Linked DNA regions of Coturnix japonica. The protein of the gene in region 2 purifies or fractionates together with the protein of the main gene of each other region. This does not show direct contact. Links are inferred from orthologs where the notes say so. Each region holds a gene or a part of one and is shown on either strand. Other genes may lie near its edges.

The links.
Region 1: the proteins of CEBPB (region 2) and ATF3 purify together in Homo sapiens (affinity purification with western blotting; 3 studies listed by BioGRID and IntAct, with this or other methods). This does not show direct contact. The link is inferred for Coturnix japonica from reciprocal best matches to the Homo sapiens genes CEBPB and ATF3.

What each region holds. Positions count from the first base shown.
Region 1 is NC_029518.1:19,272,073-19,276,321, forward strand, and holds the start of ATF3 (cyclic AMP-dependent transcription factor ATF-3), read right to left. Parts: upstream 2,904-4,249; 5' UTR 2,767-2,903; intron 2,437-2,766; exon of another isoform or gene 2,192-2,436; 5' UTR 1,833-2,191; intron 1-1,832.
Region 2 is NC_029535.1:12,271,771-12,276,285, forward strand, and holds CEBPB (CCAAT/enhancer-binding protein beta), read right to left. Parts: upstream 2,923-4,515; 5' UTR 2,544-2,922; coding exon 1,557-2,543; 3' UTR 549-1,556; downstream 1-548. UniProt on the Homo sapiens protein: Important transcription factor regulating the expression of genes involved in immune and inflammatory responses. Also plays a significant role in adipogenesis, as well as in the gluconeogenic pathway, liver regeneration, and hematopoiesis.

The DNA.
Region 1 (4,249 bases), on a different chromosome or scaffold from region 2:
AAGTCGTTGTAATTAACGTAGTGCAGGTAAGCAAATAGTTGCCTTGGGACAGCAGTGTGGGTAAGTTAAATTTCCACGTGGACAACCCCAATTGTGCAGTTCCCTGTTTGCTACTGCTGTGACATGGCAAGAAGTGGTTGGGGTCACGTGCCTTGACAAGAAGATAGATTTCGCTCAGAGATATCTAAAAATATACTGTAAATCCACATCGGTGCAAATTGGAGTAGAACCCAGCTCCTCACTAAGCGAGGTAAACACAAAAATCCAAGGGCAGTGAACTGCCAGCAGGTAGAAAACCACTTGTCCAGCTGCAGAGGTTTCCTCACTTTGAGTCTCAATGACCACAAAAGAGCCAAAGATTTCCCACATCCCAGGGGTGAAACGCTGAAACCACTGAAATCAAAAGGAGTTTTGCTGTTGACCTCAGTGGGGCCAGGATTTCACCCTTGGTTGTTAAATATGAGGAAATAATTAGGAACAATTTGTTATTCAGAAAGACCTTGGGAAATTTATGTAATTCTCTTCAGAAAGCCCCTGCTCATGAGTCACATTTAAAGTGCCGATACATTTTAATACTATAATCTCAGAAAGCCACCAGTTACTTTTTTCCCCCCGAGTCAGAAAGGCCCTGTGATTTCCAGCTGAACTGCTGGCATTATTTAGCACTTCCCAACACTCAGCCGTTCAGCTCACTGAAGCAGCCAGACTCCGTGACACTGAGCCCCCACTGTTCACACAATTTGGAGCTGTGCTCCCTGACCGTCGGTCTGCTCCTCTCCTGCTGCTGCCTTCATTCAAAACACTTAATTCCATATAACTCAATCAAACCAGGAGATTTCAATTAACAATAAAACCATTTCTCCAGCACATGGAATAATTAATTGGGCCAAGCATTTCTCAGCATGGTGGGAGGGTGGAGGGGGGGGAGGTTATTCGTTTATATTTCAGTTTAGGTCAACTTTAATTAAAGTCAGCGCCAGAGGAAACGAAGAATGCCCGTGTTTTAGTAACGTGCCTGAGAGTTGCTCTTATCTACCAGGCAGTGCTATTCCTACAAGAGCTAAGTGCACCACGACCCCCAGTGCAACCCTACTGTAATGTCCTCAGGTATCTATTGATCCACTTTCAGTTTATAAAAACATGGAAGGGAGGCTGTCACTGGGAAGGGAAGCCCAGAAAGAGCAGTGCCCTTGTCTGCACGAATCGTTGACCTCCCAGGCACCCTGACAGCGTCTCCCTTTACCCATACTTTGGAGCGGGGGCCCTGCCAGAGGCCAGGCAGGCTGGAGGGGTCCTGTCCCCAGCCCACCACAGCTGGCAGGGCTCCTTGCCCCACGCTGACTCTCCAGCGGGGCTGGGGCCGGTACATGGCATGGCAGGATTCCTTCCAGTGCACGGCTTTGGTGGTCGGGAGTGACAGGGATGTCAAAAATAATTAGCCTGTGCTGAAGCCAATAGTAAGCCAAACAGATTGGCTTTCCATAACAAAAGGTAGATGTTTTCCAGTTTCTGAGGAACAGATCTACTTTTAGAAATGCGTTATGAGGATGGAGATTAGATTTTCCTAATAAACATAAACCGCAGCAGTTTGCCCTTTCTTCTCCCAACTTCTGCACAAATTGTTCCTCTGTCTGTCAGCTTTCAAGAGTGTCATGCCGCTCTTCCCTAGGTCTGCACAGCAATAGGGATATCTAGCCTCAAATTGCAGTTACATCTGGGCTTCCTGATCCTATCTGTTTACTTCATTAGACCGTGCACATGGATGGCAGCTCCGGTCTATTTTGAGGACTTCTGAAGTTACTGGAACTGAAGGTGTCGAACATTTCACAGACCTGACCCATAAAGGCACAGCTTGCTCCCGCTGCGAGCTCACGCTTCTTTACTTTATTCTTAGTTTGGCAATTCCCCGGGGAACATTTCTGCTATTGCTGGTACCTTCGGCTTCAGGTAGATTCAATCAAGTCTGCTCCCGTCACTATGCTTTGTTTGTTCTTTTCTCAGCGGCTCTTTTCATCCTCACCAAATCTACCCATCTCCTCTGCCGATGTTTTCGCTTCGGCACACGATTCCTAGCCGTGCACTTCTGTTAGTTATGCGTATTCCCGAACGACTTCTCGGAGTCTTTCCGCTCGGCTGCTGACGGCTGACCTCTCGGTTTTGCTTCTTCTCATGAATTCCTTCTCCTCTGGTGCTGATGCAACAAACGCCGATAACCATTGAGGTTAATCTTAAACAGCATTAAGGGCAATTACAGTTCACAACCTCCGTGCACGCCGGTTGACCTTAAGCTTTCTGACATCCCACATCACTCCCGAACCACTTTCCGCCGGCATCCACCCGCTCAAAAGCCAGAAGAACCCATTTCGAACGGGAAGCTACTTCTCTCTAACAACTTTTCTATCGAGCCACGCCTGCCTCGCTTAGGCGAGACTTCAGCAGCCGGTCTCCGTGTCGGACATCGGCACAGAGAAAGAACCGCGCGAGTCCCTACCGCTTTTCCTCCCGGTGGTGCGGGCTGCCCGGCGCCCCGCAGCCGCTCCTCGGCGCCCCGTTGGCGGTCGGAGCGGCGGTCGGAGCGGCAGCGCGGGCGGTCACGGCCGGCATCCCCCCGGCGCCGAGCCCCGCGCTGCCCGCCCCCGCGAGGCGCCGAGCGGCACGGCCGGCCCGGGGCAGCCGCTCGGGACTCCGCTCCCGCCGCACCCCGGGAGCGGGCTCCTCCGCTTTGCCGGCTCGTCCCTCTCCCCGGAGCCGTCCCGCGGTTCCTACCTTGGATCCGCCGCCGGCCGGGGCTGTTCGCCGGCCCCGCCGCGCCCGCTCTTCCTCCCGTGCCCGCTCCGCCGGCGGGAGAGCAGCGCCCGCTCGCGCTCCCCGCGCCTCTGCCTCTCGCCGCGGTTGCATCACCCCCCTTATATAGCCGAGCGGGTAGAGCTGGTATTTACTCTGGCGGCGAGTCCCGGGCTGATGTCATGCTATTAATAGCTCCCGGAGGGCGGGCGGCCGGGCGGGGGGGCAGCGGGGCCCGAGGCGGTGATGCAAGGCTTTCCCATTGCACGGAGGGCGGGGCGGCGCGGCCTCGCTCTCCATAACAGGAGCTCACCGAGCCGGGCCGGGCCGCCGGGACCCCGCGGGACCCCCTCCCCCAAGCGGCGGAGCGCCCCGTGCCGGCAGCGACCCGCGGGACGGCAGCGCCCGGCACCCGGCACCCGGCACGGGGCCGTCCTCCCACGGCGCTTTCTTTTCCCCTTCCCTTTTTTGTTTTTTTTTTTTTCTTCTTCTTTTTAACAGACTTCAGGGGGCGTCCCGACTTCTCAGGCGTGCGGGACTTAGCCGTGCTGCTTTATCATAAATCAGAGTCCTTCTCACGGCTCGGAGACGGTCAAACTAAGTGAAGGCAGCGCGGCTTTCGAAAGGACTAGAAAACGGGAGCCCTTTTCGCCCCCAAACTGTTGAACGCCCCCTCCCGAAAAAAGCCGAACCACCCCGCGCTCGCTCCGTGCCGCTCCAGCTGACGGCCCGAAACGCTTCCCCGTATCGGGGCGGGGGGCTTCAGTTCTTAGCCCGAGGAAACGGGGAAGGAGCCGTTTAATTAAATTCCAGAACGCTGAAAATAAATAAATAACTTCTCCCCTTCAAACGGCGCAGCACGCGATGTCGTTCTGGTTTCGGGGATAACCGGAGACTCCCCGTAGGAGGCAGGGGAACGTGTTAGTGGCGGTGGTGAAGGGGTTTTGTTTTGTTCTTTTTTGTTCCCACAGCTTCCTGGTTCGGTAAGTGACAGCAATTGCCTTCCAAAAACGCTAGAAAATAGACGTATCAAAAAAGCACCTATCCGAGAGCGCGAGGCTCGCAGAGATTTGCACAGAGTTATCCAATACGATAATACTCCATCCTCGGTTCATACAGACTTGTTCTCTTTGGGTCTCCCTGCTAAGAACGGGAAGAGCTTGGAGACTCGTTTATTCACTTACAGCACAGACCCCGATCAGCCCTTCAGGCAGTTAATTCATTTTGCAGCGTTCACGGGGCTGCATTTGGTAACGGGTAACACGTCTCGAGTGGGAAAAGCTGGCACATATCGATAGCTTAGAGCATTTAACCGAGGACACGGATTTCTAACATTAGTCTGAGCCCGTCCGTACCTCACCTCTGTGCGCTGTGTCCACACGGGTGTATGTGTGCATACATCAACTCACACGCTGACCACCCAGATGGGAAGCGTACTCTCAGCTTTTGAAATGTCACCGTGCTA
Region 2 (4,515 bases):
AACACTGGGAATAAGTGACAGACTCAGGCTTTGTCCTGGAATCCTGCCCTGCCTGCAGCAAATTCAAACCCACTCTCTTGGTAAATAAAAACTCCTCTGGATTCAACTCAGCACAGACGATTAAGGAGTTCCTATTGTGGGGCACTGGGAATCTGGATTTTAAAATAGTGCTTCAAGTTGGCCTAACAGGAAAATGGAACATGCTGAGTAAGACCCAGTCCTTCTCTCAGCTCCGTGCACATAACCAGCCCGTGAGCTGCTCACAGAGCTCTGGTAGCAGCATGAAGGGCACGGCAGCAGCACATCTTTCCATCAGCAGGCAGAACAGAGCTCCAGCCTGATCTATAGTCTAACAGAGCCTGCCCCATCCTCACTTATCAGCTGCTTTCTCCCAGCTAACAGACACACAAACACCTCTCAACAGAGAAACTCCAGCTACAGGCTTGAGAAGAGCATCACAAGAGGAAAGTCAAGGGGTTGGTGATGTGCCTCTCACCTGGCGGCTTTCGCGAGAGCTTCCGGGCAGTGACCACATTACCGACATCCAATAGAGGCGCTACTTTCTCATGTTTATTCCTGTAAACTACAAACATAAGACACACTGAATCATAATTCAGAGAACAGGAACTCCTCGAAGAAAAAAGAATTAAGTGAAAGCTTCCTCCCTCACTTTTTCTTTCTCCCTCCCACTTGAGCCTTGCAGTTATTTCACCAGATTGGTCACGGTTTGGACAGCACACCTCGCTCTGCACAAATGGAACAGCAAAAAATGCAAAAAAAAAACCACCACCCCAAACAAACGCCTCTTCCCAGGCAGTACCCAAGTGGCAGCTCAAGCAAGTGATTAGAGGAACCAAACTGAGACAGCGAGGACTGGCTGGAGCCTCCAGCGCTGCTCTTTGCTGGTTTCTCTTGGGGTTTTTGTTTTTGTTTTTCTCTGAGTCGCAGAGAAAGCCAAAAGACCAACGCGAGTCCTATCCCTGCTGGCAGCGCCGAGCCAGATCCAGCTGGAATGTCAGCCCTGCGTTTCATCTGACTCAAAACGCACCCTCAAAATAAAACAAGCTACTTTTTTTAACCTAGTCATAAAGTTTATTAAAATCGTTCATTAATGCTTCAAATGTAGCAAGAATGCATAGATCCCAAAATATACATATGTATTTTCATATAGAAATAGATTATTCTTTATAATAAAAAAAAAAAACTGTAGGAACATCTTTAACAGATTACTCAATCCATGACTGACAGTTACACGAGATTGCATCATGTACACAGCATTCCCAGCCATGCTTAAAGGATTGCATCACTTCGCCCTCGCTCTCCTCTCGCCGTTTTAAATAACCCCAGCGCCCAGCAGAGCCCCGGGGCCGCGGCCCCCCCCGCGCCGCCCGCCGCCCCCTGGCCCCGGGGGGAGGAAGCAAATAGAGACCGAAACAACAACAAACAACAACAACAACAACGAAACCCCCGACGAAACCGAAAACGCGGCCCGGCCCCGGGAGGAGGATGTGGGGGGGGGGGCAGCGTTCAGCTCGCCCCGCGGCCCGGCGCGGGGGTCAGCAGCGGGGCGAGGAGGCGAGCAGGGGCTCGGGCAGCTGTTTGAACAAGTTCCTGAGGGTGCTCAGCTCCCGGGTGAGCTGCTCCACCTTCTTCTGCAGCCTCTCGTTCTCGGCCGTCAGCTCCAGCACCTTCTGCTGCGTCTCCAGGTTGCGCTGCTTGGCCTTGTCGCGGCTCTTGCGCACCGCGATGTTGTTGCGCTCCCGGCGCAGCTGGTACTCGTCGCTGTTCTTGTCCACGCACTTCTTGGGCTTGTTCTTGCCCGCCGGCGGCCCCGAGTAGCTCCCGGCGCCGGCGGCCGACTTGGAGGACTCGGAGGGGTTCGGGGTGCCGGGGGGGCTGGAGGAGGACGAGGTGGACAGGTTCCCGCTGCTGCCGCTCGGCACCGACTGGTAGCCCAGGTAGGAGCGCACGGTGCTGCCGTAGGGCGAGGACATGCCCCCCGGTCCCGGCCCCGCTCCCCCTTCTTCCTTACGGGGCCCTTTGCAAGAGTCCAGGGTCTCGAAGACCGGCTCCACTTTGGTCTCCACGATCTGGGGCGGGAAGCAGCCCGGCAGCCCCCCCGGCTTGTGGCTCTGGCTGCCGCACGGGTGGCCGTGCCGGGCGAGGCTGATGTAGGTGTAGTCGGGCTTCTTGCCGCCGCCGCTGCCTTTATAGTCCTCGGCGAAGAGATCGGAAAGGAAATCTTGGCCGCCGCTGCTGCAGGCAGGCTCAAAGTTGCCCCCTGCTGCTGCTGCGGGAGGCGGCGGCTGCGCCGGCTGCTGGGATGCTGCTAAGGGGTCCAGATACGGGCTGAAGTCGATGGCTCTCTCGTGGTCCCCTACGGTGAGCTCGGTCATGGAGCGGCCCCCGGCCGCCCGCGGGTGCAGCTTGTTGAGAGCAGCTAGACAGTCCGCCTCGTAATAGAAATTAGCCACTTCCATGGATTTAAAGGCGGGCGGCTGAATGGGGAGGCATGCTGCGTCCCAGGCCACCAGGCGTTGCATGAAAGCAAAGGGAGATGCGGGGAGGAGAAGACGGCGCGGAGGGCCCCCCCGGCACGGAATCGAGCGGCCGCCGTCGGGTGGGGGTCTCCCGAGCCCGGCGCTGGGCACGGCCCCGCTGCGCTGCCCGCCCGGGCGGCTCAGTCCGTGCGGCGCGGCGGGGCTCTCCCGCTCCCGGAGCTGCGGCTGGAGCTGGCGGTTCTCCTGCGGACCATCTGGTTGCGGGGCCCGTGTCCTCAAGTCTCTGACTTAGGAAAGTTCCTTCGCTCTGTTATTTATAGGGGCGGTGGATCCCATAGCAACAGGCGCGTCACCGCCTGGCCGCATGCCACGCTGCACGCTTCGGAGCTGCCGCTCCGGCCCCCGGGACGCCGCCGGCTGCGGGTGCGGGTGAGGTGCGGGCCCTGGGGCAGCTGTGCGGGAAAGGGACCGCACGGAGCCGCCGCCGCCAGCATCGGGGCGGCCGAGACCTCCCGTCCCGTCCCGTCCCGTCCCTGTCCCTCGGCTGCGGGGAAAGCGGGCACCGCTCGGTCCGGGACTCCGGTGCCGCCGCTGCTCTTTTGCCAGCGCGACGGGCCTTTCGCGTCTGAGAGCAAGGGCTGGCGCTGTGGGGCCGCGTGTGCCGCGCAGAATTGGGTGCAAAACCCGTCTGGGTCCCGTTTTACCCCTGGGGAAATCGAGGCAGAAGGCGTTTTTCCGAGCTCTTTTGCCAAAGCGGGGGAAAAAGCTGCAAATAGAAGACAGATCCTCTTATTCTCCGTCCAGCGCCTGACTGAGTGAACCGCACTGTCAGGCAGAACCGTCCCATTCAGACGCGGGCAGAACCATTTTACAAGAGCCGAGCGAGCGCAGTTTGGAGCGGGGCGCAGCCGGGGCCGCATCCTGACGGCAGCGAGCTCAGAGCCGAGCAGCCGCCGCGCTCCGCTCCCCATCTCTGCGTGCGGGGACCGTGACTGAAGTTTGCCTCAGTGTATTTACTTTGCACGATACCGTGCAACTGTCAGGGTACAAAGGCGACAGGGAATCCGCGGTCTGAAGCCAGAGGGGACCGTGTTTAAAGGCATTCCTTTAAACTCAGAGAGAGTGAGATACGTGCTCGGAACCGTGGAATCCGGGCACTGTCAGAATCGCGGGGTGAGTTTGGGAAGGAAGACGGAATCTCGATGTCCGTTTTAATTAAAGACACCCACCTTGGGAATCAAACTTTATTTTCACTCTCTTACTCCCACATTTACCTGTCTACAAGCTGGTGATTCATCCCCAGAATAAAGGACATTAATTTAAAACAAAACATATAATTAAAGGAAGTAGGAGTGTCCTTTGCCTCAGTAAAGAAGACCCAGCACTGCAGGGAAAATGACACTGCCTCTTAGAATAATGTGAAGCAATCCTGCGGTGTGGGAAATATGGTAACGTTAAGCCAGAGGAACAGGTATTGCATTATACGATTCAAACAGTCAACTGTTCATAATGTTCAAACCTCAAAACTTCGAAAAGAGGAAGAATTCAGAAATATGTCAGTGGATCACCAGACTTTGTCTTTCTTATATTTTTACGTTTACATTTCTTTTGCACATTTCAAGATGGTTTTGCTTTCCATAACAAAAGTACCCCAACAGGTTTTTGGGCTTCAAATATTTCTAGTTCTGTCCTTATCTCCAAGTTAATCTTTGATGAATGCACCGGAGATTAAATTGGAGCTGGGCCTGGCCAGAGGTCTGGGTCTGGAGGCTGGAGCCCATACCTTCATAAATACAAATATCTGTATTGGGTGCAAATACTGGCAAGTCTCAGTGAGCCACGGCTTGTTCTCGTGGCTGTTTTCTTTCTTGTGCTGTGTCCTTATCCTGAGTTCTGATCTGGCGGTTGCATCCAGCAGCTGCCCGAACTGGCCCTTGAAACTGAACTCTTGAAATGCAGCCACATGTGCTTCCTACCTCTGAACGTATCAGGAACCCACAAGCAGAAGGTCTCC